Linked DNA regions of Tribolium castaneum. The protein of the gene in region 6 purifies or fractionates together with the protein of the main gene of each other region. This does not show direct contact. Links are inferred from orthologs where the notes say so. Each region holds a gene or a part of one and is shown on either strand. Other genes may lie near its edges. The genes, in order: Prp31, Prp8, 116 kDa U5 small nuclear ribonucleoprotein component, RnpS1, Usp39, Prp4k and U4-U6-60K.

Region 1 (4,446 bases), on a different chromosome or scaffold from region 6:
TCGCGTTTCGTTTCCGTGTGAACCACAGTTTTGTTTATAAGAGTGTGCCGTGTATATTTTTATCAATTCCGTCATTTTGTATTTCGATTTACTTTCATATTAAATATACTTTTATTAGAAGTCTCAAGTATCTTATCCCGAAGTTCCAACATTAAGTCAGAAACACACTTAGGTCGAGTTGTATAAAAAATTTCAGGATTAAACCCATAGCCATTGTTATGAGAATAATTGTTAGGGATTTAAATCAGGACTAAAGATGATACAACTCGACCTTAGAAATGTAATCACATTTTTTTTAAGCCAAAGATACAAAATTCAAAATATAACATTATATTTTGAATTTTGTATATATAACATTATATTTTGAATTTTGTATAATCTATTTTCAACTATCAACATCATTTAAACAAGGATAAGATTATAAAGCAATAATAGATAAAGGAGAATTACCAAAGTTTCAATAAGTTTATTTCTCAATTTGAAATCTGAATGTGATAATTAGAACGTAAGAGTTTCAAGGAGATGAACCATTTTTTGATAATGAATAATGTGTTTTCCACTGTCAATGTAAGTCCTAGAGATTTTCTTTTTGCAAGAACGTTTAATTTATTACTAATAATATAAATATTAATATATTATTCTTCAAAATATTTACAACTTTTAGATGCAAAGTATAAGACTGAATATTTATTTTCATTGAGTTTTAAGTTAACATTACTGCAATGTTTGGCTATTCTTTTTAGATCATTGTTTATTTGATTCCATTCAGTATCATGGTAATCGATTTTGTTTGAAAAATAAATAAATAAAAATTAGTATAAAACGCGAAGAGGAGGAATGCAGTACAGAATTACAGACGAAACCGCTTTTTTTTCAAATTGAAAGCCGTTTGGTTTTTAAAAACCCGTGAAAATTTAACTCAATTCAATGTTACTACTGCATTTTTGTCTCTATTTTTTTTAAACTTATTTTGACATAAGTTATAATACGGAAGCTTTAATACATTATATTTAACAATAATCACTAGACTAGTAAAAAAACGATTGATGGACTTATCTCATTATTGCACTGAATAAATGTCCACAAATTTTCGGTGTTATAACAACTGTTACTGTTTAATGACATTAAAATAAATCAATCGATTACAAAACCAGTTATTGCATTTGAAAGAGAAAATTTTATAGCATACGTTTCTATATTTTTCTCAAAAAGACTAAAACTGGAGTTATTTCGTTAAAACATCGAACACCCCAATTAAAAAAAGGATTGGGCCCAAAACTGAGCACTGGGGTACACCTGAAGTTATGTGTTTCGCTTATTCGTTACAACTTATTGATACCGGTCTTGTAAGTATCAAGAGAATAATAAAACTGCATTTTCATCAAACCCATAGAAAACTTTTTGCAAAGAAGATTGTGATCTCTAGTATGTTATCAAAATCTAATGAAACTATAATGCTGCTTCAACAGTAGATTGGCTAACAATATTGTGTAATTTTCAATGTAAGAAATATTTTCAATACTAGAAAAATTTAATACAAGAAAAACCAAACTTACATCAGCGAAGTTCATTCTATTGGCATGTTTCCTGAACTCAGTCATCGCATATCTCTCTTTCATTTTGCGGACTCTTTTCCCGCCCCTTTTCTTCTTGGACTGGTCGATAGGTTTCGGCAGCGGCTTGATAAACTTAACTGGGGGTGGTTCCAACAACTTGTCCAGTTTTCGTTCAATTTCGTCGCGTAATTGCCGCCCAATACGTCCGTCTTTACTCTCATGACACGAGTCCACACGTGCTGCTAGCGTGCATTTAGTGGCAACAAGTCTGGCAGCCTTCCTTCTCAAATCAGGCGGAGTATTTTGCACGATATCTGCGTAATAAACGAAACCAGTGTGCGGCAACATATTCACTTGTGAAAATCCAGACAATGCCTTCTTCTGTTGGCCCAACAATTGCACGTTACAGGCCGGAATTTTGGACAATCGGGTCAAACCCCCGGCAACCCCCATGAGCTTGGCGGCGATCGAAGCCCCAAGAATCGCCGACAAGTTGGGGGCGATGAAAGCCATCCGACTCTCAACGTATTCGTAAATTTTCAGTTTGAAGTTGTTCAAGTCTATGGCCATGTCGCAAGCTTCGTCGATTTGTTTCTTTTCGACGTCCGTTAGGAGAATCCCCTGTGTCGTGGATGCCGTGACTGAGACAACCATGATAGTTGCCTGCGTTAGGAATTGTTGCAAAATTTCATTATTTTTGGCTTGGTCTAAGTCATTCCCGAGCTCTTTGACGGTCTTCAAGTACTCCAAAGGACCAACAACAAGGGAGTCCAACTCGGGGAACCGCTTCTGGTACTTGTCGCGCACAAATTTATGGACAGTGGCTTCAATAAAACAGATTAGTTTCAACTGATTTGGTTAAAATCGTAACTCTTACCAATTTCCGCGTCTATATCTGCAGCAATGTTGTTAGCTTCGACGATCAGTTGATACTCAGGGTCCAACTCAACTGGTCCTATGATGTCGTGGTATTTTCGGCTCTTCTTCACATGGTCTTCGATTTGTTTCAATATTTCATGTAAATGGGGCGAGTCCCGTAATTTACACAACTCTCGGACTGAAGTTATTTGAGTTGTGTCTACCTCTAACTGGATGTCTTTAACGTCGGGTTTTTCTTCTTTGATGTCCGGTTTTTCATCAACTTCCATCGCTTCTTCCAAATCATCTTGATCGTTTTCTTCCAAATCAGCCAATAATTCGTCGGCCAAAGACATTTTAGCGAGTTAAAAACGTAACTCCAAAACGTTCACACAACACTTGGAAGTGAGGTTAGAAAAATGCAGTTTACAAATTGACAAGTGTCCATAGATTACTTGTAATGTGGGGCTGAATTACTGGTTGTCTATAATAATCTGCTTATTAATTTGGGGATAATGAAAAAAAACAATATAATTATTAATTAGTGAAGGGACGGAATATAGTCCGTGAAAGAGTACTTTTCCGGACACATATATCACTAAAAAAACAGTTGTTATTGTAGTTTCAAGCCATGTTATTTAAATAAAAAAAACTTTTTTTTTATTTTAGTCAACTTTTTGGTAAAAACTATAACTATAAGAACATAAGAGCAAACTTGCTTCGCCAAAAGCTCTTTTAAATACCATTTTAAATTAGAATATTAAGATAGTTGTTTTTAAAAATAAACAAAAATAAATGGAAAAAAGCATACAAATAAAAATAAAAAGGAGTCAGAGGACGCCAAAGCACCAACTAATTTTAATAAAACCGGATTGAATAAAACTGTATGCCGAAGAAAAGAAATAAAACTTTTTGACTACAAACGAACACCTTATATTCATCTTAACGAAGTTGTGGTAGATGACAGAAATATTTAAAAAATTTACTTTCTTATTAAATTTTGGATCAAGTTGTGTCTTCTTTTTAAAAACGATGCATTTGTATTTGTGAATAACTTCAATTTTTTAAGAAGATTTAGACAGCAAAAAATTGTAAAGACTTACACGTAAAGCTTAAAAATGGTTTCCGATTTATTTAACGGAATTAACGCTTTAAGATTCATTTTTTAGAAAATAATTGCAAAAACCCACAAAATATATTAGAAAATCTTTTAATAAATAATTTAATTCCTATTCATTACCCGTTTTCTATTCAACAGGGAAGCGATCATTTTTAAAATTAAAAATTATTTGGCATCTACGATAGTTCAATGCTTCAAATCGAAGCAATTTATCTGTTATCTTATTATAATAAACTACCAACCGACTTTTTAAAATTCTGATCTAGTTATCCATGACAGATACGTCATCAATGAAACATTTTGCATAAATAACTTTAGCATCGCTTTATTTGTCAATATGTCTAAAATGTTCACCGAAGAACCAAAAAAAATATGTTGGAATCTTATTTCCGTAATGGAGATCGGGTTAACGTAACTGTCACGGATAACTAGACCAATATTTTAGAAAATCACACAGTATTAATTTGTTTGAATATAAAGTTACAGTATAGTTACACAATTTGTAAATTTGGGTTAAAAAAGTACAGTTTTTTAAAAAACTCTTCAGGTTTTGGGATATACGAAAATGTTTATTATGTCATTTTAATACATACATTTTATGTCAAACTTAAAATTCTTCTAATAAATAAATATTTGTTCCTTTATTTATTGAACCTAGTCAGTAATCAGTTAATCACAATCACCACAAATCTCTATTACTTCTTAATTTGAATAAGTATAGAAATGTAAAATAGTTATTAACGATTCGATCTCTCATTGAAAGTATAAATTACATTAGTTATAATTTTGAGAGAAAATGCGACGTTGGCGTTTTTATAATTTTGAAATAGCTAATATATACCTTTTATGAACAGATAACAAATAAAATAGCACTTCTCGTGGCGGCCCTGAGTAAATGAACAAAATACCAAT
Region 2 (4,341 bases), about 870 kb from region 6:
ATTTTTTTGAATCAATTTATCACATTTTAGTTTTTTTCGTATTTTTTTACTACTGTACTTCTTAATTGTTTTAAGTTTTACGGAGTTTTTAGTTGTAGTTTCAATTCATATTATAGAAAATTTACGAAGAAAAATGGTAGAAAAAGCCTGAGTAGTTCACAATACAAAAAAAGTCAGAAGTCAGCGATAACGTAATATTATAGAAATGAAATAAGTTGTAAAAAAGTCACGTTTAAAAAAAAAAACTTTAAATAAATACAGTGATTTTTTCATAAATATCTTAGAAAATAGAAGAGGCATTTAAAAATCTAGTGCATGTTTGGTGGCATTACTAAGAATTTTTTCAGGTTTTTTTTTAATTTAATTTTCAGAACTACTATCTTGCATAGAGAACTAGAACTGAATTTGTAAATTCATTCCAATAAACTTGACTGAAAAAAGTTAAGAATAATACTGAATTTTAGAAAAATTCAACTGATAACAAGAATGAAATTAAAAGCAAATACTTTATTTTCTGATTTGTTATTATTAGCTTCTAATGCCCGAAAATTGATAGAATTTGTTTAATGTAAAAATAATTAGAACTTTATAACTGTTGTGGAGCAGTGTATATTAAAACACCAATATCCCAAACATTTTTAAACAGTTTATGCAGTTAACTGTTCATTTGTAGGTTTTACAAGAGAGTGGTACTATTTAAAATTTTCAAAAATGATCTATATTACAAAGGGATTTATAAGTGCTACAAATTTACAAAAAGCGAGAAAAAATGTCCCTCTATCAATGAAAATTGTCCATTTTCAGGCTTCGTATTTTTTTCTTATTTCCTGAATTAACCAATTTTTTTTAAGATAGTTTTGTCATTTAATGTAAGATTTGACAATCTTAAAACATAATCTTTAAAAGGGTTAATGAAAATCCAACTTGGACGTGCAAGTAGACATTTTTCGTTAACTCTTTCAAATATACCTTGCACATTAATGATGGATCTTCAATTCACTTTATAATCTTTAAAACACTACCAAAAAAGTTAGATAATTTAAAACAAGAAATTACCAATAAAATTAGAAAAATTTCTAAAAGCAAAATTAGACGGCAAGAGCTTAAAAAACGCTTTGGATACTGCATAGAGAGAAATGACAATCAATGAACATATCTTTAGGACCACGCTATTTAGAATATTTAGAGTACTTTGTATTTCAAATAAGTACACTACAATGTATGCCCTTTCAACAAAAAATTTCTTCTCAAAATTTGGCTCGTTTTAAAAAAATCACTGTAATGTTTAAATCAATCTGAACCACTATAAATGTGTTTGTCATTTGCTAATTTTTTTTGTAAATTCCAAATTTTGCTCTCGTTTTTGTTTTGTAAATTTATTAAATATTCTGTCTTTATTTCTCTAATTTGCAAATGTGTTTGCTGAAAGCAGATAATCCGCATCTTATTCGATACGATCTTAGATGAAAATAATTTTGTGTTTCCCAATAATATTGCAATTATTCATATTATGTTTTGAGCGTTTACTGTTTTTCCCTAAAAATGTCAGTAAACATATTTCAAATTTTACTTGTTCCAAATCTACATTTCTTTCAAAGTTTTTACGAGCTTTACTAAATATTTATCTATTCTATATACTAACCAAACATTTTATGATACAGTATAAGCAAATCTCGCCTTAAATCAATAATTTCATCATAAAAAGATTTATTTATCGCCCGCTTTTTCTAAACTTTACTACCTCATTATTAGCAGCTTGCATTCTTAAAATATTTTCATTTTCTTTGTACAGTCGTCCTTCCAAATAGCAACAGTTTTGAAAATGAATTAACCCTCCACATTTACTTTTTAAACTTGAGAAATGATTTTAAGAATCAAAATTTTTGATAAAAAATTTTCGAAATAAGCCCCAAAATTTTAATTTCATAATTGATCAAAATATAATACAAAAAAGTGTTTTTACCGTTTTCCGAAAACCGGAAAAGAATTAATTAACATTCAATTTGCACAAAAACAACGTTGTTATCAGTGATCAACAAGCTATCACTGAAGCAAACATTCAAGCAGATATTTAATACGTTTAATATTTGAATACGTTGACAAAAAAAGTGAAATTTTACCCCAAATAAACGCGTTTATCGTGTCGATATTTACGACTGCTCATGTCCCCATGATCCCTAATAATCTTCCGAATGTGCTCAGGCGGCATATCCTCCTTCTGGGCATCAACGAAGCCAAGTTTTCGTTTATCGGCAAATCGTTTCGACTGAAGTTGATGCCACTTTTGGGCTTTTTCCTGGAGTTTTTCTTCAGTCATCACATCCGACTTTGGATGTGGGGGCGGTATTTGTTGTTGTAAAGCATGAGCATGGGCCTGAGCTGCAGCGGCCTGGGCCTGGGCATGGGCTGCAGCCAGGTGCTGCTGGGCCATCATGGTGGCCCATGGGTTCGGCCCCAAAAGATACGGGGGCAGCGACATTCTGAAAGTAATATAAAACCAAGCATAACCATGTGTTAATACAGGATAATAAGTTGCGGTGATTTTAGTAATGTAAATGGTAACAATTCGTAAAAACGAAGTTAAATTGTAATCGTTTTTAGGTGGAACGTTGTTACGGTAGTTTTTACAAGGAAAGGAAACGCACTTTTTGTACTAACCGCTTCTGTACACAAATAACGAAATAAGTGAATTATCTAACTTAAATTGGTTTAAACTCACCTTGTCCTTTTAAAACTTGAACAAAATTGATAATTTTACTGTTTTAGTGCTTAAATGCATCTAAAACGTTCACTTTACGTTTTGATGCGGCGTTCATTTTCTCATTCGCACACATCACCTGCAAGCGCCATATTTACGATTATCAATACCAATCTCACAATTACAAAGAACACTAAATCCACTAAAACAGAGCAGTGGTTGTCAACTTTAAATTCTAAGCAATCGTGTTTTGTTGGTGGCCTATAATGCTTATACGAGGACCACTGATGTAGATAAATAATTAGCGTCTAGCGAAAGCAAAGTGTTTTTGCCTTCGCATATTAGCTTACGTTTGCACATTTTTAAATTCTGCCTTGTAAAAAAAATCGTGGTACAAATATTAAATACAAGGTGTTTAAACATAAGTTTACGCCTGAACCACTTATTCCGTTTAAAGCATTCTTGAAGTAAAAATAAGATAAACAATGATAATTACTAGTAATTAAAACAAGAAGAATAAAAGAATTACACTAGTTTACAATTATTTTTATTTTATCAAGAGATAATTTATACTGGTTTTGTTTTCTGCATACTCACTGATAACTAAAAGATATCTCACGTTTGTCTATCACGTCTAGTTTTTTAATATACTCACTAAGAGCCGGTTTACAGAAAGCTCAATTAAAGTTAATTGCGTTGTTAAAAGTTAACAACGCAAATGGACCAACCAAATTGCTTCACTTTGGTCACGTGATCAGTTAATCACGCATTTAATTACGAATTAAGTTAATAACGCTTTATAAATCGGTCAAGTTGTCAAGTTTAGCATTCGTTGTTTGTGAGATAAACTAATTGTGAAACATTTTATTTGCTTTAAATTTTCGTCAAGTTATTGTAGACTAAGTCCAAACAACTTTTGTTTTTTTTTTTTTTTAAATAATCCTAATAAAACCCAGGAAACTTAAGCGATCAAATGGTAAACGTTTTCGTCGAGATTTAAAGTCTTATGAAAAAAAGTTTACCAAAGTTTTTGGGATAAAAATAGTATGTTAGCCGATTACTGCTGGCTACAATAAGAGAAACTGACAGTAATCAGTGCAAAAATAAAACAATCTGTGTCATTTTTAATTTTTCAAAAGTTTTGATTCAATCTTTTTTACGGTGTCTTTGTCATTCGTTATTAACATGATTAACAAATTATTATATTTATTAATATAATACGAGTGCAAAAACACAAACTTAAAATTCGAGAACTGTTGTTATGCAACGAGCGTATGCGAGTTACATACCTAGATACCCGAAAACTTTTAATTTTTTTTTGTTGAAACATTTTAATTTACAACACGTTGCTATAAAAAACGTGTTTGAAAATAGTGAAAACAATTTTCGGTGGGGTTATAAACTAGAAGAGTTTCATTGTCACCCAAAAACATTGTCAAAATTTTGAAGCTGTAGACATATTACGCCTAATGTGTAAACTTACCTAGTTTGTAAACTAGGCAAACCTCAGTTTCAACTAAAATAGCGGCTCGTTTACAAGCAACAAACTAGCCAGGAATCTTGACTAATTTACTTAAATGATAAAACAATTAGATAGTTTATAAATTTTTTAAAGCATTCTCTGGCTAATATTAAAATCATAC
Region 3 (4,182 bases), on a different chromosome or scaffold from region 6:
TAATACCTCAAAAAAGCATAAATAATTTGTATGGATCTAATTTAGTGTTTTATCATTATTATAAAAGAATTGTTTTTATATAAGTACTCAAACAATCAATCACACAATTTTTTTGACAAATTTTCCTGAAATAATGTTGAGAAACGTGCTATAACTTCCGAAAACGCAAAAAATTTTTCAACACAGTCTTAGTGATTTTCGAATCAAACTTGGCTAAATAATTGCGTTTCTGGATTAAAAAGCTAGAAATACGCAAAAAATACCTTGATTTTTGATACAAATTAATTATTTTTCATGTTTATTTTTGAGATATTTCACACAATAATAACATTTTGAACAATAAAAGATGCTAAAGCACCAGAAGACAGTAAAACTAATGTTATATTCGACCTGATTTCACGAAATTTTGAACAGAAATTATTAATTTTCAATAGGTCAAGTTTAGTGATTTGTTTATTTAAAGTTACACGCTCAAAAAATGCAAAATATAAGCTATTATTTTAACTTATTTTGTGTTTTCTTGGTGGGATTTAGCAAATTAACACCTTGATGATGAAAATTTTGATCTGGTTTTAACAAAAGGTGTTCTAACCCAAACACACGTAAGTGGTCAAGAAAAACTTTTTAAATTTGTAAATGTGCTTATCTATATACTGACCCCACCTGACTGATTTTTTTGAGAAATTATTACATTTTTGGGCCAAAAACGCGCACACACTTTTTTAAAAGGTAAAAAAAAACTCTATTACTTCTAAATTTTGAACAACGTATTATTTCTGGCTGAAAAACTTGCCAAAACAATTTTATTTTCGGCCCAATTTTTGGGTTTATTGCGCTATAAATTTAGGAGACAATTGCTTTGCTGGTTGAAAACTAGTTTACTCGTTGCTAAAACAATCTAAAAGAAGCGTAAATATTTTTGTTGTGTGTTTTTCATAAAATCTTAGAAAAATGTAAATACTAATAAGAACACATCTATAATTTACATAAAAACCGGCAATAAAAAGAAAGTCTTTACAGTGTAAAATAGTAAAGTTTTGTCAAAATGCACTTAAACGCTCAAAAAGTTAATTTTTTTATTTCATTTGCTACTTCTTTTTTAACGAAATACCTTTGAGAAACGTGCTGCAAAAAAAAATTTGATTTTTCAACACAGTTTTAGCAAAAAATGTTTTACTTATTTAACAACTTAGTGAAATAATCTCGTTGGATTAAAATCGTCCTAATACTCGCAAAAATACCAAAAATTGTGTATTTTTCGACCCAATTTAGTCATTTTCTATTCTAGTTCTAGGGAAATCTCGTAAGAAGATTGAGTTTTTAGCACAAAAACGCGCTTAAACCCCAAAAAACTGCTGTATTTTACGTATTTTTTTGTAATTTTTGAGAAAACCTTATGAAATAAATAGCGTTTCTAGCTTTAAAAAATGCCCTAAAATTCTCGAATCAGGCAAAAGTTACATCTTTTTGACTTTATTTAGTGATTTCTCAAACTACTCGAATCGAAATCTCGGAGAAACACTAAATTTTTACTCAAAAAAATATGAAATCAAAATATAGTTGTTTTTCTGTCTGAAAAAATAATCTAAAATGTTACAAAAAAGGCAAAACAGCATTATTTTCAACCACTTTTCATGATTTGCTGGTCGTCACTTCAGAAGTGTGCGTTTGAGAAATGCAAAAATCGCCACACTTTTTACGTAATCTGGTGATTTGTCGACGAATTTTTGCCGAAACATCGCGTCTAAAGGAGGATTAATTATTGAGTTATTACCAGGAGTGTCAAAAATGTTCATTAGGTAACTCTTGTTCTTAACGTCCTGCAAAAGTAGCGTAATTGGGATCGACTTGATCGAGCAGCCCCTTTCCTGCTCCGTGAACAAAGTGTCGGTATATCTCAAATTTTTCTCTTCATAGTCCTGATACCCTGGATGCGTTTGCCGAATCAAACAATCAACAAACGTGGTTTTACCATGATGTAAGTGCCCAATCAAGGCCACGTTACGTATCAGCGACGTATTGTCCATCATATCGGCCAAAAACCTACCAAAAAGTGAAATTATTTTTACCCCTACTTTCACCCAAATAATTACTCCATATTGTACGTCGTATCGGGCAAATCCTGCTCCTTCAACTGAAACTTCTTTTTCTTCACCGGTTCGATCAAAGGCACGTCAAGGGGCTGCGCGTCCTCCTCTTGCACAATAGTCTCCACATCAGGCCCATAGACTTGTAAAGCAGACGGGTAGTATTGCTTGTCCTCGTGCAAGACAATGGCCATGGGTTGGGGCTCACTCTCGTCCATTTGCTCGTCCTGAAAGGGGACAATAAGGGGGCTTCTGGGGACCTCGAGACACTCACATCGTAGTCTTGCTGCTCCTCGTCTTCCTGGGGCTCGGGCTCCTCGTCCTCGTCGTCATCGCTGTCCAGCTCAGGCCCGATGTAATTACCGAACTCGTCGTACAAATCCGCGTCCATGTTCTGGCTTTTGGGGCCCTAAACACGACTCGACATAACCCCAAAAAACAGCAAAAACGGTAAAATCCACACGACCGGAGCACAAAAAACGATGATTCGAGTGGTTTTTGGGACAAATTTGCCACTTTTTGCACGATTTTTGTGAAAAAACGTTGCAAAACGTTAACAAACGAGTCACAGGTTAGGTTGTTGTTGCCGGGAGTTACCAACCATGCGGCCACAAAAAATAAACTCCCTGGACTCACTACATAATTCAAGCCAATTTTATTAATTAATTGAAACAATCACAACCAAATTGTTAGTCGCGACGTTTGGTTTAATTGATAACAGTATCACATCAATTAATTGACAGGAATTATTACCAAGTTGGTCAACCGTTCCGCTAGATGGCGCCCAATCGGCAAATATTGATTTTGGGCCTAAAAATAGACAAATGGAGCAAGGGGGCCTCTTATCTATTTATAAGCCGCTTTGCTTCAGTTTACAGAACAAGACGTTCGTTATTGTTCGTTTTATGGCCAATCGTTTGTCTTTTGTTCACCTTGTCGGGGTCCATGGCCTGCTTAGACGTGACGTAATTGTCACTAGTTTTTCCATTTACCGGCAATGGCGGGGTCAAGTTCACCCGAGGCCAACTACCGTCTTATTGTTACCATAACAACACTATCAAATTCAAGGTTGTAATAATAATAGTATGAGGACTGAGGAGGTATGGAAAAAGCAACAAAACCTCCTAAACCGTTACTGACGCCCCTTTTGTCACCATTGGTCGGGGTTCCCCCCGTTTGAGAGTTACCACGGCGTGATTGGTCGCGCTTAGCGTGGGGGCGTGGCCGGTGTCACACCGTTCGGCCCGGCTTGGCTCCGATTGGCCGCGCCTGAAATAGGCAGGTCGGTGACTTTTAAACAAACTAACCTATTTTTTTAAGGGCAAATTAAGGGCCGTGTCGGGAAATTAACATCAGAGGCGGCTTTGGCACAAAAAGGACGTTTTATTTGTGGTAAAATTTCTGTTTTTAGGAGGCGTTTTAATTGTTTAATATTGTTGTTAATTGACTGTCGTTTGTTAGTCGCGGCCGCCTTGATCGGGTCGCAAATTGTGGTGGTTGTGCCCGATTGTGGCGTTTTTTTCCCAGTTTTGTGCGATGTGGCAACGCCGCACAAGCACTTTCGACAATTCCCGGCTAAAATCGAGTTTATGTGATTATGTGTGAATCATTGAAGTTGGCCGTGATGCCACGTCACAGTTGGCGTCTCTCTCGCACTCGTGTGACGTTTGTGACGATTTCGAGGTCTATATATAGCACAATGTGGAACTAAACTGTTTAATATTTATGTAGAATATTTTAAGCAGACGATGTGATGGTGTTTTGTTTTGTTCGACGGTCAAGTAGGTCGTGGACGCGAGTTGCAATCATTACGAAATGTCACAATGTAATCAAGTTGGCAGGAGATAAAGTCGATTGTTATTTGTTGATTTGATTGTTTTATTGGGGGCACTCCCACTCCCCCCACTTGTTTTAATTGGGTGCCGAGGCTGGGAGAGTGAGATGAAGTGTTGGTGGCGTTTAGGTCATCTTTTTTTAATCGTGTCGGAGATTAGAGCGGAGATTAGAGGGTGAAGTGAGATAAGAAGACGGGTTTGAGTGTGCGAGACAGCGGCGGCTCGTGAATAAATTTAAGTAAAAATAATTGAACTTTTTC
Region 4 (3,578 bases), on a different chromosome or scaffold from region 6:
TGTATTGAATTAGCTTATTGTCATTCTAAATTTACCGCTTTGTAGATTAAATCAGATTATATGAAATTTTTATCTAATTTTTTAATAAGCACAAACCTGAACTAATCTACGAAGCGAATTTTGTCATGAATCATTTTTCAATTTTTCATAAAATTGTGCGTTTGTACTAGTTTTAATAAAATCACCAGAAACGTTATGTTGAATAAAATGGTTAACATTACTTGTATATTTTATTAACGAAATGTCGGGGACGTAGACACCTTGTTATTGTAAGACCGCTGTGTAAACCCACTCCGAAAAATGGGCGCCCTTGCGATATTTTTTGTGTCAATATTAAAGAGTATTTTTGCTGCAGTGCCAATTGAACGAGCTGAAAAGTGCCCAAGCCCCCTCGGCCCTCCGTTCAACCCTGCTCGATCCTGCCGTGAACTGCATCCTTCAGCAGCTAAAAACCGAGCTCCAATCGACCCGTTCCGAGCTTGAGGACACCAAGAACGAGCTAACGGCGTGGAAATTCACCCCCGACTCGAACACGGGCAAACGCCTGATGGCGAAATGCCGCCTCCTGTACCAGGAGAACGAGGAACTCGGCAAAATCACGAGCTCGGGCCGCATCGCGAAGCTCGAGAGCGACCTGGCGCTGCAGAAGAGCTTCTCCGAGGAGGTCAGACAGAGCCAGAACGAGCTGGACGCGTTCCTGGCCGACCTGGACGAGGACGTCGAGGGCATGCAGAGCACGATCCTGTTCCTCCAGACGGAGCTGCGCAAGACGAAAGAGAGCGCCCAAGTGCTGCAGAAGGAGAACAGTACGCTCAAGCTGGCCAATGGGCGGTCGAACGGTGACAGTGTGTGTGAACAGGAACGGACGGACTCGGACTCCGAGGCGGAGAGGACTACTTGTGTGAAACGCGTGCGAAGGTCGTCCGTCCTCAGTATCGACTATAACGAGGACGACGCCCTCGTCATCAGCACGAACGGTGACGTCGCGATGGCCTCCGACCCAGAATAGTGAGCTGAGATTAACCCAACTATTACGCATATAAACTGACGAACAGTATATTCAATTGTACATAGAAATATACTAGCCTAATGTGGTTGTTTCGAATTGTGACTTCAATCATTACTAAATTGTGTTGATCACTGCGGTGCAGTTGCAGAATTTTTTCTATTAGTTTTGGCAACAATGCAATATTTTATTACTTTCCCCCATTCAAGGTGTTATCAAGGTGCGCTTTTTTATCCATTGTTCGCATTTTATTCATTCGACCGACTCTGTTTTAAATTTGTCAGATTGTATCATTTTTTAACGTTTTTATGTTGAAAGTTGTATTTATAAAATAAAACAAAAATTATATCACTTATTATTGACCACGGTGTTTTACTTGTAGCTGCGGGGGTGCAAAATTCAATCTCCCACCGTTGGTGTAGCAGTTACAAACTTAAAGTCACCAGAACAGCGCTACCAACATCAAGTGGTCGTAGTAGCGTCGTTTTGCTAATTTTCCACAATTACACAGTTTTTCATGTAGTTTTCATACTTCCGCGTTAATACAGTGAAAGGTTTTAGTTCTAAACTTGTCCCGACTTTACAGGAATCAAGAATAGTCAGAAATGTGAGTATTTACGTTTTGAGGTTATGTTTGTAGTCCGGGAGGGCTTTCCACGATTTCCTTGTAGTTTTAGCACATTTTAACTCCCATGCATCACTTGTGTTTGCTCGATTTGCTTCCTTCAAGGTTCTTCAAGATCAAGATAATTTGTATTACAACAACTGACTTGTTTGTTCACTCCCGGACACCATTACTTTTTACAAATTTTTTGAGTTGGTTTTTATTGTTCTTAGGGCAAAAATAGGTTCTGATACGGAAAAGGACGACAAGGATAAGAAGAAAGAACGTGGTAGGGACCGTAAACGGAAGAGTGAGTCTGGTTCAAGCAGCAGCGATAGCAGCAGAAGGTAACACCCGAGTTTGAAGAGTTTGTAATCACCTAAAACACTTGATTTAGTTCTTCCGACAGTAGCTCGTCCAGCTCGCGCTCTTCGAGCAGTTCCAGTTCGGGCAGCAGTTCCCGCTCGAGCAGTTCCTCCTCGGAGTCCTCAAGCTCAAGCAGCGATAAAGACCGCAGTCGCCCCAAACGCCGTTCGCGCTCCACCAGCAAACCCACCCGACGCAGCAAAGAGCGCAAAGACAAAGACAAGGAAAAGGAGAAGGAAAAAGATGTCAAAAAGGACGATAAAGACGAGGTCAAAGACAAAGACGTCAACAATCGCAAATCCCCAGCGAAAGACGACAAAAACCACACCCGTGGCAAGTCTCGTTCGCGCTCGCGCTCAGACCGGCGCAAAAGGCGTCGCAGGTCCCCCACGCCACGCCCCACGAAAATCCACATTGGGCGTTTAACACGCACCATCAACAGGGAGCACATTATGGAGATTTTCGGGACGTATGGACCAATCAAACATGTGGATTTCCCCAAAGACCACATCCACCCACACTTGGGGCGGGGCTTCTGCTACGTGGAGTTCACCAATGCGGACGATGCCGAAAACGCGATGAAACACATGGATGGGGGGCAAATTGATGGACAGGAGATCACGGCGGCTCCGGTGCTTGTACCCAAGCCGAGACCGCCCCCCATGAGGCGCAGCCCCATGCCGATGCATATGAGGAGGCCTCCGCCCCACAGACGCACCCCGCCCAGATTCCGGAGGCGGAGCCCCATGCGACCGATGAGGAGGAGCCCGCCGAGGAGGCGCCCCCATTCCAGGAGCCCCCCGCCCAGGCGCAGGAAGCACAGCCGCTCCAGTTCGAGCAGTTCCAGATGATTTTTTCGATTTTAATTTTTTAAGGTATTGTAATGCGTGAAAAGGAATAAAACCGGAATTAAGGTATTGATAATCAAAGATTGATAAATGATAAAATTATTATTTTGTCATATTGGTATTACCACGTATTGCCTATCACATAACCTAGCTTTCTTCAAATAATTGTTACAAATGAAATTGATGGAAAATTGATGAAGATGACTCGTAAATCGTTTAAGTGATGTCTGTCTCACATAATTGTGATGAAAACCGCCGAAATCTCTTATCTGAAGTAATAATTTATTTTGACATAACCTCAAATTTAGCCTTTGCTCCAGGTTGAATCAGCAATATCTAACAATGACCTTGCCACCCTCAAGCAGCTTTTACCGCACCCTTTTGACCAAACCACCCTTCAGGACGAAAACGGCAACAACCCTCTGCACTTATCCATAATTTACGAAAAGTATGATCCCCCCTAACGTTCAGTAAATCCCTACCAAGTCCTGGTTTCAGGAACGCAATTTTTGACTACTTGCTTGATAAATTCGACTTGGAGGCGCAAAACCACTCCGGACACACAGCCCTATCCCTGTCCCTGCTCTACCACAGCGACATTTTCATAATCGAGTACTTTGCCCTGGAACTGATCCGCAAGGGGGCCAACATTGAGGTAGTTTTTAGCGATAATAACACAGTACTGCACTTGGCCCTCCAACGTCACTACTTCCAAGTCGCCCAGCTTGTAATTGAAAAGGGGGCCGATTTAAAC
Region 5 (4,473 bases), about 30 Mb from region 6:
ATTCCATTCGTCAACAAAAGAACATCTGGTTGAACCTTCGCTTCTACCTGAACCAGAAACCCCTAAAAACTTAACGACCTGAATCCAATCCTTACAAAATCGAGAAACTCACTTTCGCTTCCTCGCAGGCACTTTGGCCATCGTCACCGACGGCATGATCTACGGCTGGTCGTCCCCCAGCCTCCCCCAGCTCAAAAACAACGAGACTTGCACCTTGTGCATTGACGAAAACCAGGGCTCCAACCTGGCCGTCATGCCCCTGGTGGGGGCGGTCATCGGCTCGCTCACCGCCGCCACCATCGTCGACATCCTGGGCCGCAAACGCACCATCCTTGCCACCGCCGTCCCCTTCTTCCTCTCCTGGATAATGGTGGCTTTCGCCCCCAGCATCGTCCTCCTCTACATCGCGCGTTTAATCGCCGGCATCGCCGACGGCGTCACCTTCACCGTCGTCCCCATGTACATCGGCGAGATCGCCGACCCCCAGGTGCGAGGGATGCTCGGCTCCAGCTGCTCCGTGACCTGGATCGCCGGTTTTCTCATCATAAATGTGATAGGGTCGTACCTTAGTATTAAAACCACGGCACTTGTGTCCTCAATTGTGCCGGCAATCCTATTTATTACATTCTTGTGGATGCCGGAAAGTCCGTACTATTTGTTAATGCGTGGGAGGGCGGACGAGGCCCGGAAATCACTAGAACGCCTCAAAAAACGCGAAAATGTCTCCGGGGATTTGAACCGAATCCGGAACGCAATCCAGGCTGAGGAAAAGTCGCACAATGGGAAATTCGTCGACTTGTTCCGGGTGAAGAGCAACCGGAAGGCCGTTTTCATCATCGGGGGGCTCCGGGGCTTCCAGCAATTGGCGGGGACCACGGCTATTGCCTTCTACACCCATGAGATTTTCCAAACTGCTGGGGACCACATTTCCGCACATTACGCTGTGATGATTTACTACTCCATCCAGTTGCTCCTCACAATGTTCTCCTCGAGTATTGTGGATAAGGCCGGTCGAAGACCACTGTTGATCATCTCAATGGCGGGGTCGGCGTTAGCCCTTTTTGTCGAAGGGACCTATTTTTATCTTTTGAACGAAACGGACATTGATACGAGCTCATTTTCGATCGTGGCCGTTGTGGGGCTTCTAGCTTTTGTGATAATTTTCAGTTTAGGGATGCAGTCAATCCCGATTTGTATGTTAGGGGAGTTGTTTCCCACAAATGTGAAAGCTTTTGCGCTTTGTTTGGCCGATGTTTACTTCAGTGTGATGGCCACAGTGGCCTCCAAGTACTTACAAATAACTAAAGTAGAATACGGACTACATGTCTCGTTTTACGGTTTCGGGATTTGTTCGCTACTTGGACTAGTTTTTATTTATTTCTTTGTGCCTGAAACGAAAGGAAAAACCCTCGAAGACATCCAGAAAAAACTGAGAGGGGAAGTCGAAGTTTGTGATGAACGAGGCGCCGAAGAAGAGAAAGTTAGTCTCAAAGCGTAATTTTATTGAATAAAGTACTTATTTTTTTACAATTTCGAATTTTATTGCATAACCAGATTGACATTATTATTGACACCGTTGACAGTAAATATAACCTTAAAGTTGCAAACACCACACAAAAACAGTCCTAGCGTGATTTAATCAAAAATTAATTAAAAAAGCGTGAATACGATGGAAGCGGACGATGAACCTGCCATGAAAAAGCCCAAGTTCGAGGAGCCCCAAGCCAAATCAAACTCCTCACAACGTAAGTACACATAACCTCGAAAACGCAACTGAAACGTTCAATTTTAGCCGAAATTGAGCCCCCTTCTGACAATTCGGACCGGAAAGGTACAAAAATCAATCGATTAAAGCGCCCTGTTCTATTATTGTCTATTCCAGGTGGGAAGCCCCAAACGCATCGACTGTGCCCCTATTTGGACACAATCAACCGGCAATATCTCGACTTTGATTTCGAAAAATTGTGCTCAGTGTCGTTGACTCGCATCAACGTTTATGCCTGTCTTGTTTGCGGAAAATATTTCCAAGGTAGAGGCACAAACACACATGCTTATACGCATTCGGTGGCCGAAGGCCACCACGTTTTCCTCAACTTGCACACCTTGAAGTTTTACTGCTTGCCCGACAATTATGAAATAATAGGTAATAAATACTCTCAATTGTAGTTTTGAAATTAAGTTGGCAACATTTTTCTTCAAATTTCAACAATTTTACCCAACTCACTTGATTCGAGCTGAAGTTTTACACCGAATTAGATTAAATCGTTTCAATAACGCGAATGTTTGAGAGGGCGCAATGCCAGTAACGCCCCCCTTCAAAAATAAAGTGAAATCTTCGTTTTGTCGCATTTTTCCGATTGGCATTTTATTGAATATCGTTTTGTATGCGTTTTCAACCGAAACTAACTCGAATTAAACCGAGTAATCGTGGAAAAAATACAAAAATGACTAACCTTAGCGTCGTCTAACTGAATTTTTTCAAAACCGGCTTCCAGCTTGCTGCTAACACACTTTGATAGTCTACACACGTCACATTTCCGATAAAAAGTCGATTTGAGTCGTTTTTGCCACTTAACACGCACAAAACACCGGTTTTTCAACACGCAAAAGCAAAAGGACGCGCACTTCGGCAGACAAGCTTCACTCTAACGCTGATGTCACGCCAACGGCACCTCATTGGCTGATTTGAAAATGACACTTGAGCGCGCGTGATTTGAAATTCGCGCGAAGTCTTCAATTGGGAGACTTTTTACAAAGATTAGGATTTATACGTTTTTACAATGTCATAATTCACGAATTTTGTAAAATAAATGCCTGTTTAGCTCAAAAACATGCATAATGGCTTAAAAAAAAAGGAAAAATGAGATAATTTGTGGCCTGATTTGGTAATTTTGCGGCTTGTTTGGCATTTCTGCCTGAAATAACAAGTTGGGATCTTCGGAAAAGACAAACATTATGTAATTATTGAATCCGTTTGGTGGTTTTTCGGTTAATTTTTGTGTTTTTTGTCTATTTTCGATAATCGTGTTGTCAATTTCTGAATTGAAAAAAGCAAATACTAGGAAATGTTCGGGGAAGTATTCGGTTTCAGTAATCAGTGTTGCCACTTAATTTCAAGCTCCAACGATTTTTTTCTAACAAAATTAAATTACTCACAGATTCGTCCCTCGACGACATTAAATACCTGCTCAACCCCACATTTACCGAACAACACATCAGTACATTGGACGTTAGCACAAAAATGTCCCGAGCAATTGATGGCCTACTTTACATGCCAGGAATCGTCGGTTTAAACAACATAAAAGCGAACGATTACTGTAATGTTGTTTTACAAGCCCTTTCACGTGTTGTCCCTTTACGTAATTACTTCCTCCGTGAGGAGAACTACAGCAAGATAAAACGCCCCCCAGGTGACTCCTCTTACCTCCTGGTGCAACGTTACGGTGAACTGATGCGTAAATTATGGAACCCCCGAAATTTCAAAGCCCACGTTTCGCCGCACGAAATGCTCCAAGCTGTGGTTTTGTGGAGCAAAAAGCGCTTCCAAATTACGGCACAAGGCGACCCCATTGATTTCCTTTCGTGGTTTTTGAACGCACTTCATCGGGCACTTAACGGCAATAAAAAGAAAAACAGTTCCATCATTTACCAGTCATTCCTCGGAAACATGAAAATTTACACCAGGAAAATACCACCGACCGAGCTTGACGACAGACAGAAACGCATGCTTTTGTCAACTCCAGAGTACCAGGAGATCATCACCGAGTCACCCTTCTTGTACCTCACCTGCGACTTGCCTCCACCGCCTCTCTTCATCGACGAGTTCCGGGAGAATATCATCCCCCAGGTGAACTTGTACCAGCTCCTCACCAAGTTCAACGGACAGACCGAGAAGGAGTACAAGACTTACAAGGAGAATTTCCTCAAGAAGTTTGAGATTACGCGTTTGCCGCCTTATTTAATCTTGTATATTAAGAGGTTTACGAAGAACACGTTCTACGTGGAGAAGAATCCAACCATTGTGAATTTTCCGGTTAGGAATGTTGATTTTGGCGAGTTTTTGACGCCCGAAGTTAAGGCCAAACATAAACATACGGTCTATGATCTAGTGGCGAATATTGTGCATGATGGAGAGCCGGGGAAAGGCACTTACAGGGTTCATATTTTGCAAAAATCAACGGGCAAGTGGTACGAGATGCAGGACTTGCATGTGACGGATATTTTGCCGCAGATGATTACGCTGACGGAGGCTTATATACAAATTTATGAGCTAAGATTAGAAAAGTAATTTTTTACGAATAAAATTCTATCACCGGAATTTTTGTCTTTTATTTGTCCCTCCCTGATTTTTTTCTGTAATGAAACGTTTAGTCCAGAGAGCGGTTTGTTTTTGGCCTGATTTGGTCAAAAAGCTTTTGAGAAATCAGTCAAATCTTTAGTTCTTGAACATACAGATTAGTTATATTTAAAAGA
Region 6 (3,209 bases):
CGATTTCTTTTGTACTTAATAATTTTGCCGTCGGAATTTTTCGTACTTACCTGTCACAACTGCTTCCATTTAACCGATGCTCTATTTTTCTAACCAATACAATTTTAACTATAACTTAAGAAAAATATGTTAGTCAAAAAATCGTAAGTTGATTGGATCTTAACCTTAACCTTTAAGGCGATTCTGGCAAACCGTTAAACCCTTCTCTGGATTTCACTTCCAATTTCTTAAGCCCATTCAGCTGAAAATGAAAAGAAAATTTACCACAAAGTTTGGGTTTCGCAGTTTTATTTTAAAGAAATATTCAGCAATTTGTTCACCCCTGTTTAAGCAAAGTCATTGCGAAAACAAAGGTCAAGTCAGTAAAATACATTCTGATTTTGATGAAAAAATTACAAATCAAAATGTATTTTTTGAAAAAATTGTGAGCACAATTTTTATAACAGTCGCAGGCCAAATACCTTATCGAACTTTACACCAAGACCTCCTATCCAAACACTCATTTCGCCACACTTCTGTAACAAAAATGACAAACTTTTATCAATATTTTATTACTTTATAAATACTCCACAATATGAATTTTCGTGTACAACATTGTTAATCTACAGTTTGTTTTAATAAAATATAAGTCTAGTACAAGACTTTTAAAGAATTCAAAGAAAAATAATAACAAACAAAAAAATTAAAATTACTCGCGGTGTCCGGTTACCTCACTAGACCAACCCTCAAATCTTGTCCTGAATAAACGGATGTGTTAACGCATTATTCAAGCTGATCCTTTTGGCAGGATCTATAGTCAATGCCTTCTCTAACATATCCTTCAGTTGGGTCACTTTTCGCAGCTGGTCCGGGGGCAAAGCCTGACCTGCCACCAGCTCGGATTGGAGGTCGCGAGTCACTTTAACAACGGACATCACCACCACTTTTTCCTGAAAAAAATACGACACGTCTATCAATCGGCGATTAAAAATTGTTATACTTAAAATTAAAAAAAGTAATCAAAATAGTGCAATAAAATTTAAGTTTTAATAATTATATGACAACTGTTAAGAAAATATGATGTTGCCATCAAACTTATAATCCAACTAATAATATCTTAAATTTTAAACTTCGTAAAACACTTTGTGAAACAAAGTTTAAAAATTTTGGGTTTATTATCTAATTATCATTACATAATGAAATGCAAAAATTACAAAACAATAGTTGCCATTTATTTTTGGCTTAAAAAAAACATGATCATCTATCAGAAAAAAATAAAGAATTTGGTTGGTTGAAAATTGATAAACTATTCGAATGTTATTTGTCTCACTAAATTTCATTCTAGAAAAAGCCTAAACACCGGGAAAACCAACTTTAGAAGTACATTTTTTTTTCAAAATGATTATACAGTCGCTGATAATTGAAATGAAATAATTAATATTAAAGGGGAGAATCTTCCGCGCTAAACTAATTTCTTATTTATATAAATCATTGGAAATGCTAATTTGTTTATTTCTACTACAGGGCCAAAGGTATTTTATTTTCTTTTTAACACTCATTGCTGATGGAAAATAATGTTAAAAAACACCTTTTTCAGTTTTCAAGTAGGTACTGATCGCATTTAAAGACTCTCCTACTACCCGAGTAGAAGAATGTATTCTGTAAATAACTTTCAAAAATGTTACTTAAATTTAAAACGACTCTAAATCGCCACTTTTTTTCAGGTTTCGGTTTTTTTTCTGAATTAAATAAACCACTGACCGTATTTAATTTTTTTTATACAGTTCGCGTAGAATAATGTAAGCTAAATTGCTAAAATTCCACGCCTTTTAGCGTACTTTCTAATGACATTCTAAAACAAACGATATTTTTATCTTGTTTTGTGCAGAAATTCAGTAAAGAAAGTTGTTGGTAGCTATAAAAAAATATAATAAATTAAGTTTATCCATTGTATAACTCATTTGAACTCATATAAAACGAGCTGACATTTAATCGTAATAGAATTCGAGGTTTGCATGTAGGAATTAATTAATTAATTGCTGATTAACTGACAAGCTACAAAACCTTTTTAAGCAACATTTTGCTTCTTAAGACTACAGAAAAACTATGAAACAATTCACATGCATAAATAAAAACAAAATATTTAATAGAAAACGCTAGTTTCTGTGTAGTTAGTATTAGTTTCAGTAATTTTTAAAGACATATTTATTTCTCAAAAGTAAGTGGTCACAGTTAAGAAATACGAAATAAATAAATAAAATAAAAAATAAGAATTTTTTATCCATAATTTGTTTGAATTAGTTGATTTGTGAAAAATCTTTTTTTAATTCTATTTTTAATTTTTTTGCTGTTTTTGCCAATTGTTATTAGTTATATTAATTATCCAATTTCTTTTTCATTTGACATTTTTTAATAACTAACATAATTATAATTTTGGGGAGGTAAAGTGGAATAAGTGTAAGTTACATTGCCCCTCCTCATTGTGGTATTGTTTTCTATGTTTAAGATTGTCCTTTATTCTTTCTTTTTTTTTGTTGTGTTACATTCCTTTTTTTTTATTAATATACAATGTTCGGCAAAAGTTCAATCAAGAGTTTTTTGCCAAAACAAAAAGACAATTTTGTCATTTTTGAAAAGATTTTTCCAGGGTTCCAAGCAACACTTTATTCACAAATACTTTAAAAAATTATTTGTACATCAGTACATAAGAGCTAATGATATTAAATCAAATCCTGGTATTATATTTTGCTTTTGTCTCAGAAAAACGTGTCCCAACTTTTTTTTCGAAGAAATCCCTAACAAAATTTAAGATAATGTCGATTTTGAAACGTTTTTGTTGTATTTTTAACTTTTTATGTACAAATAAACTGAAGGGTTATTGGTATTTTATCAAATTACAAGGTGTCAGCTACAGAGCGATACAGTTTACTAAAAGATACAAAATCGGTACAACTTATATTATATTATTTTTCATGCTTATTTTCTTTAAAAATTAGTAATATCTCCAACTTTTACTTATGATTTTAACATATTTTAATAAGGGAAATCTTTTTTTAATAATATTACTTAATAAAAGCCATTTATTGTTTTATTATTAAGGTTATTTTATTTTGCTTACCCGTTCAGTAACTCGATCTATCTCATGGTAGAGAAAATTGCAGTTACTGTCGAAATGTTGATCCCTAAATGCCCCTTTTCGAATCACTTTATTCGGAAATTTCCCCTTAACG
Region 7 (4,153 bases), on a different chromosome or scaffold from region 6:
TATCGTACGATGAAGTAATTAGGTAATCGCCGCCGTCCCTTTGAAACTTCACCTCCGAAATTAAATTCGTATGAGCTGGGATTGTGTACAAGACGGAACGTTTGCGCAAATCCCAAATTTTGCAAGTGTTGTCTTCGCTAGACGTGGCAATGTGGTAGCCATCAGGGGAAAAATCTATCCCTAGAACCGCCTTTAAGTGACTCTCCATGAACATGATGCATCTTCCGGTCCTCAAGTCCCACACACGTCCAAATGAGTCTAAACCACTGTTGGGAAATTAATTATTTGTCACAATTTACCAAAAGTATTTACCCTGTGGCACAGACCGATCCATCAATCTGGAAGGAAATACAATAGACAGGTTTGACGTGTCCTTCCTGGTGTAAAACTTCGGTGCATTGCTGCAAATCCCACAATCTCCAGGAACAGTCAAAGCAACAAGTCCCGAGAAACCTTCCAGAGGGATGAAAGCCCAACCGGGAGACACGATGTGGCATATGGCCCTCGATATCAGCGATCGGTTCCTCGCTTTGAAAATCCCACAATTTTACTGAACCATCGGCTGCACACGATGCCATATTGCAAATATTTTCCTCCTGGCTGATTGTTGCTCTAGGGTGGAAAATAATAGCACTGGCATTACAGGCGTGACCTTTCAGGGTCTGTTTGAGTGTGCAGTCGGGCACTGACCACACTTTACACAACCCGCTCCTTGAATCAAACAAATAATTTCATTTCACTTATTAAATGATAATTACCATCCAGCTGTGGCTAAAAGTTTCGAATCTGGACTAAACTGGCAATAGGCAATAGGTCTCGAATCGCCAATCTGACTCGAATAAATCGACATAATCTGGAGTTTTTTCTGTATTTCCTGCTTCTTGGCTGTTCTAGTAGCCGTTGATAAATCCTTCGCTTTTCTGGCTTCCTCAAGCCGGGCTTTGGCCCGCGGCAGTGAATAGTGCGCTATCCATAATCTGGCTATTCGCAAACTTTCGGGGCCTTCATGATACCACGTTGTTTCGAGATCTTTTTCGAAATTTTTACGTTCTTCTTCGGCTTCGCGTCGAATGACTGCGTCTTCACCGATACGACTTAGTATTTCACGGAGGCGTGAACGCCGATCTGCCGGTCCTTCCCCGAATAGACAGATCGGTTCTCCCAATTGGCGAAGGTTTCGTTTCACTTCGGCGTCATCGGTGGAGACGTTAATAGAGCGCGCTTTACGACGACGCTCGAATTCCTCCAAGAGGGCTTGCTTGTCGCGGGACATGGCGTCCTCAAGCTCCATGTATTCTGAATAAATTAAACGTAACAGTATTTATTAGATTCAAGTGAAAGATTTTAACATAAAAACAGGCACCTAAGCACGCATTTTTAATAATTGTGTGATAATTGCTGTTATATAAACATTTTTTTTATTTACCATTCGTAGGTACACCTACAAACTGTTCTTTTTAAAAAGCAAAAATTATATAAAGCTGGGGCCTATGGCACAACTTTTTTCAATTTAATATTATTGTGCATTTATGGCATTAAAGGAGTTCTAATACGAATTATTTATTTAATAGCGCAATAAAGCATTTGATTTAATAACACCGCGGCTGTCAGTTTCAAAGCCAAAGTGCAAGTTAATCGCTGTATTAAACCTGATTTTTTCCTGAATCACTCAGGTTTTATATTTTTTTAAAAATCTGTAATCATATTATTTCGCATGACAAAGCAACTCGAGTCAATATGTGAACCTAGTTATTGACTGGGCCGTTAATAAGCCACTCTTGAGCGCTTCAAATGTCACTAAATGTCGACTGGCAAAAAATTTATCACAAGAATTTGGAGAAAATATTGGCTACAATGTTGAGACTTTAACCTTCTGCTTACCAGCTTTTTTTGAGATAAATTACGATGAAATTCATTTAAACGATCAGTTACAACGATAAATTTTACTCTTAATACTCTCATGTAATAAAGATACCAGGGTAAATTACTCGGTTTTTTATTTTTGAAAAAATAGTAGTTCATAAAGGAGTTTTAGCAAAATCAGTGGCAAAACTGTTAAGATAAAGTTAACAATATACTCAAAAAATGGAATACAACTGGACAGGTGGAATTAGTTTTACTGGTTGCATCAGATTTCAGAACTAACTCATGACTGACTCACCCTGTATAAATAAATAAATAATAAGATTTTAAGTATTCTAATAAAAAACTTTGATTCCATGACTCAAAATTTGGTTTTACAGAAATTACAAAAAACAGAACCTGGGTTTTGAGCCACGAGGCTCCATTAAGGAATAAGAAATATATAATGTACCACTTGTACTAGATTTTTCGTGAATATTTTAGCGCTACATTAAACTGATGTTGACTTGAGCTTTAGCTCATTTGTGTGCGAGGTTTTGGCATTTGGACGAAATTACGGATGCCAAAGTAATACCTGTGGAAATGTGAACCTGTGGCGGGTTCGCCGACGTGCTTTCGGCCTTTTCATTGCTATCATCGTTCCCATCGCCGGCTGCTAACCTAGCTCTTTCCGCTTCCTCCAACGAGCCGTAGTGAATATTTTTGGTTTTTTTCACGTAAGGCGCGTCCTCATCGTCGGACATGGTGCTAAAAATTGAGCAAAAATGAGTATTTGTGCAAGTTAATTCGTAAAAAACGTTTGTTTACATGTTATCACTGCTATCGGTTCAAAACGTAACGTCAAGTTGACATTTGTCGCAAAAAAAGTAACCAAAACCGCCTGGTGAGTTCAGTGTAGCCAACGGCAAGTTTTTACGATTTCTTCCACAAAAGAAATATTTCTGTTTTCTTTACATAGCGTTTTGCTATCTCTGTCTAAATTTTTTTCCAAAAAATTCCATGAGAGAGAGAGATTATCAAGTTCGGTCCGGAAATCTTAGTAAATGTACGATGTTGTGCCGCGGAAACCGCCTAAATAGCCGTGCAATGTCCGTGCTGGTGTTTTGTGTGCGAAAATCGTGAAAGAATCGGTGAATTTGTGCGAAATCGGCGCGACGACCGATCGTTGAACTTGAACAGTTGATAGATTTTCTCTTTCTTTCCCAGGCTCTGAAAAATCTCAAGTTTATAAAAATAAATATGAAAGGCCTAATTACAGTACAGTCCGAGTCTGTGTCGGTTTAATTTTTGACCCCGTTTTGGATCTGCGTTAGTCGAGTTTGGTGCCGTTAGTTAGGCTGAAAAGCCGTTGCTCTCGACAAATATTTGTGTGTGACGAAAAACCTCGACAATTCCCAAGATTTTTTACGCGAGAATTTTTTAAGACGTGCGGTATTGATTTGCCTTAAAGGCTTGGCCCGGCGAATATACGGACTATACATGGTTTATAGGGGTCTTACGTGGTTTCTATTGGCTCACTGACTCATAAAAAACTAAGGGACACATTTTTTGTCGGAATTTTCCAAATGACTGAACATTTACATACGCGTCTCCAAATTTTTGAGAAATCCTCGGCCGGACTTTGTATTGTTAAACCTCGCAAAAACAGTCGACTTGCGGATGCGTTGTGCCGTGCCAGTGAAGTGGTGGTGATTTAAAAAACAAACGCTCGCCCAAAGGCCCCAAAACCGACGAGTATTGATTATTTCGAAGGTCTCACGCTGGTGACTCATTACTTTTTGGTAAATTCGTCATCTCCAACGCGAACAGTCGGAAGGAAGCTGGACGAACATAACCAAAAATGCTGCCTCAACAGTATTGTCTAAGATGGAGGTACCACCATTCGAACTTGCAGACCATGTTCTCGCAGCTCCTCGAGAAGGAGGCCTTCTGCGACGTCACCTTGGCCTGCGAGGGGCGCACCATCAAGGCCCACAAGATCGTCCTCTCCGCCTGCAGCACCTACTTCGAAACCATCCTGTCCCAGTACGAAGAAAAAGACCCCATCCTCATCATGAAAGATGTCAAATATGTAGATATTAAGTGCTTGGTCGAGTTCATGTACAAAGGAGAGATCAACGTCGACCACGTAAGCCCCCTTTAAAAAAAGCAAAACCCTTCAATTTTTCATGACCCCATGAGAAACTCCACTTGGCCCGCAAACTGCCAACAATCGATTCTCCTCGCAACGTCAATAAAACCCTAGAGTTCCTTTATTGGGAGAGTTGGGACACTGAACGTCAAACCGAGC

The links.
Region 1: the proteins of Prp4k (region 6) and Prp31 purify together in Homo sapiens (affinity purification with mass spectrometry; 3 studies listed by BioGRID and IntAct, with this or other methods). This does not show direct contact. The link is inferred for Tribolium castaneum from reciprocal best matches to the Homo sapiens genes PRP4K and PRPF31.
Region 2: the proteins of Prp4k (region 6) and Prp8 purify together in Homo sapiens (affinity purification with mass spectrometry; 4 studies listed by BioGRID and IntAct, with this or other methods). This does not show direct contact. The link is inferred for Tribolium castaneum from reciprocal best matches to the Homo sapiens genes PRP4K and PRPF8.
Region 3: the proteins of Prp4k (region 6) and 116 kDa U5 small nuclear ribonucleoprotein component purify together in Homo sapiens (affinity purification with mass spectrometry; 3 studies listed by BioGRID and IntAct, with this or other methods). This does not show direct contact. The link is inferred for Tribolium castaneum from reciprocal best matches to the Homo sapiens genes PRP4K and EFTUD2.
Region 4: the proteins of Prp4k (region 6) and RnpS1 purify together in Homo sapiens (co-immunoprecipitation; 4 studies listed by BioGRID and IntAct, with this or other methods). This does not show direct contact. The link is inferred for Tribolium castaneum from reciprocal best matches to the Homo sapiens genes PRP4K and RNPS1.
Region 5: the proteins of Prp4k (region 6) and Usp39 purify together in Homo sapiens (affinity purification with mass spectrometry; 3 studies listed by BioGRID and IntAct, with this or other methods). This does not show direct contact. The link is inferred for Tribolium castaneum from reciprocal best matches to the Homo sapiens genes PRP4K and USP39.
Region 7: the proteins of Prp4k (region 6) and U4-U6-60K purify together in Homo sapiens (affinity purification with mass spectrometry; 3 studies listed by BioGRID and IntAct, with this or other methods). This does not show direct contact. The link is inferred for Tribolium castaneum from reciprocal best matches to the Homo sapiens genes PRP4K and PRPF4.

What each region holds. Positions count from the first base shown.
Region 1 is NC_087395.1:18,107,213-18,111,658, reverse strand, and holds the start of Prp31 (U4/U6 small nuclear ribonucleoprotein Prp31), read right to left. Parts: upstream 2,866-4,446; 5' UTR 2,771-2,865; coding exon 2,434-2,770; intron 2,381-2,433; coding exon 1,557-2,380; intron 1-1,556. UniProt on the Homo sapiens protein: Involved in pre-mRNA splicing as component of the spliceosome. Required for the assembly of the U4/U5/U6 tri-snRNP complex, one of the building blocks of the spliceosome.
Region 2 is NC_087394.1:7,721,913-7,726,253, forward strand, and holds the start of Prp8 (pre-mRNA-processing-splicing factor 8), read right to left. Parts: upstream 2,879-4,341; 5' UTR 2,720-2,878; intron 2,481-2,719; 5' UTR 2,480-2,480; coding exon 2,121-2,479; intron 1-2,120. UniProt on the Homo sapiens protein: Plays a role in pre-mRNA splicing as core component of precatalytic, catalytic and postcatalytic spliceosomal complexes, both of the predominant U2-type spliceosome and the minor U12-type spliceosome.
Region 3 is NC_087401.1:10,799,848-10,804,029, reverse strand, and holds the start of 116 kDa U5 small nuclear ribonucleoprotein component, read right to left. Parts: upstream 2,826-4,182; 5' UTR 2,479-2,825; coding exon 2,362-2,478; intron 2,315-2,361; coding exon 2,094-2,314; intron 2,044-2,093; coding exon 1,775-2,043; intron 1-1,774. UniProt on the Homo sapiens protein: Required for pre-mRNA splicing as component of the spliceosome, including pre-catalytic, catalytic and post-catalytic spliceosomal complexes. Component of the U5 snRNP and the U4/U6-U5 tri-snRNP complex, a building block of the spliceosome.
Region 4 is NC_087399.1:5,873,486-5,877,063, forward strand, and holds RnpS1 (RNA-binding protein with serine-rich domain 1), read left to right. Parts: upstream 1-1,454; 5' UTR 1,455-1,611; coding exon 1,612-1,613; intron 1,614-1,843; coding exon 1,844-1,957; intron 1,958-2,007; coding exon 2,008-2,827; 3' UTR 2,828-2,905; downstream 2,906-3,578. Other genes in the region: fl(2)d (pre-mRNA-splicing regulator female-lethal(2)D), read left to right, coding at 356-1,009; ankyrin-3, read left to right, coding at 3,048-3,098, 3,145-3,272, 3,323-3,578. UniProt on the Homo sapiens protein: Part of pre- and post-splicing multiprotein mRNP complexes. Auxiliary component of the splicing-dependent multiprotein exon junction complex (EJC) deposited at splice junction on mRNAs.
Region 5 is NC_087394.1:36,569,723-36,574,195, reverse strand, and holds Usp39 (ubiquitin carboxyl-terminal hydrolase 39), read left to right. Parts: upstream 1-1,525; 5' UTR 1,526-1,669; coding exon 1,670-1,745; intron 1,746-1,792; coding exon 1,793-1,831; intron 1,832-1,882; coding exon 1,883-2,143; intron 2,144-2,453; exon of another isoform or gene 2,454-2,697; intron 2,698-3,158; coding exon 3,159-4,288; 3' UTR 4,289-4,318; downstream 4,319-4,473. Other genes in the region: facilitated trehalose transporter Tret1, read left to right, coding at 129-1,498.
Region 6 is NC_087394.1:6,850,114-6,853,322, forward strand, and holds the end of Prp4k (serine/threonine-protein kinase PRP4 homolog), read right to left. Parts: coding exon 3,098-3,209; intron 930-3,097; coding exon 726-929; 3' UTR 536-725; downstream 1-535. Other genes in the region: ppl (glycine cleavage system H protein, mitochondrial), read right to left, coding at 51-69. UniProt on the Homo sapiens protein: Serine/threonine kinase involved in spliceosomal assembly as well as mitosis and signaling regulation. Connects chromatin mediated regulation of transcription and pre-mRNA splicing.
Region 7 is NC_087397.1:1,345,278-1,349,430, reverse strand, and holds the start of U4-U6-60K (U4/U6 small nuclear ribonucleoprotein Prp4), read right to left. Parts: upstream 2,812-4,153; 5' UTR 2,671-2,811; intron 2,611-2,670; 5' UTR 2,607-2,610; coding exon 2,438-2,606; intron 1,297-2,437; coding exon 759-1,296; intron 712-758; coding exon 313-711; intron 267-312; coding exon 1-266. Other genes in the region: zinc finger protein 131, read left to right, coding at 3,704-3,991. UniProt on the Homo sapiens protein: Plays a role in pre-mRNA splicing as component of the U4/U6-U5 tri-snRNP complex that is involved in spliceosome assembly, and as component of the precatalytic spliceosome (spliceosome B complex).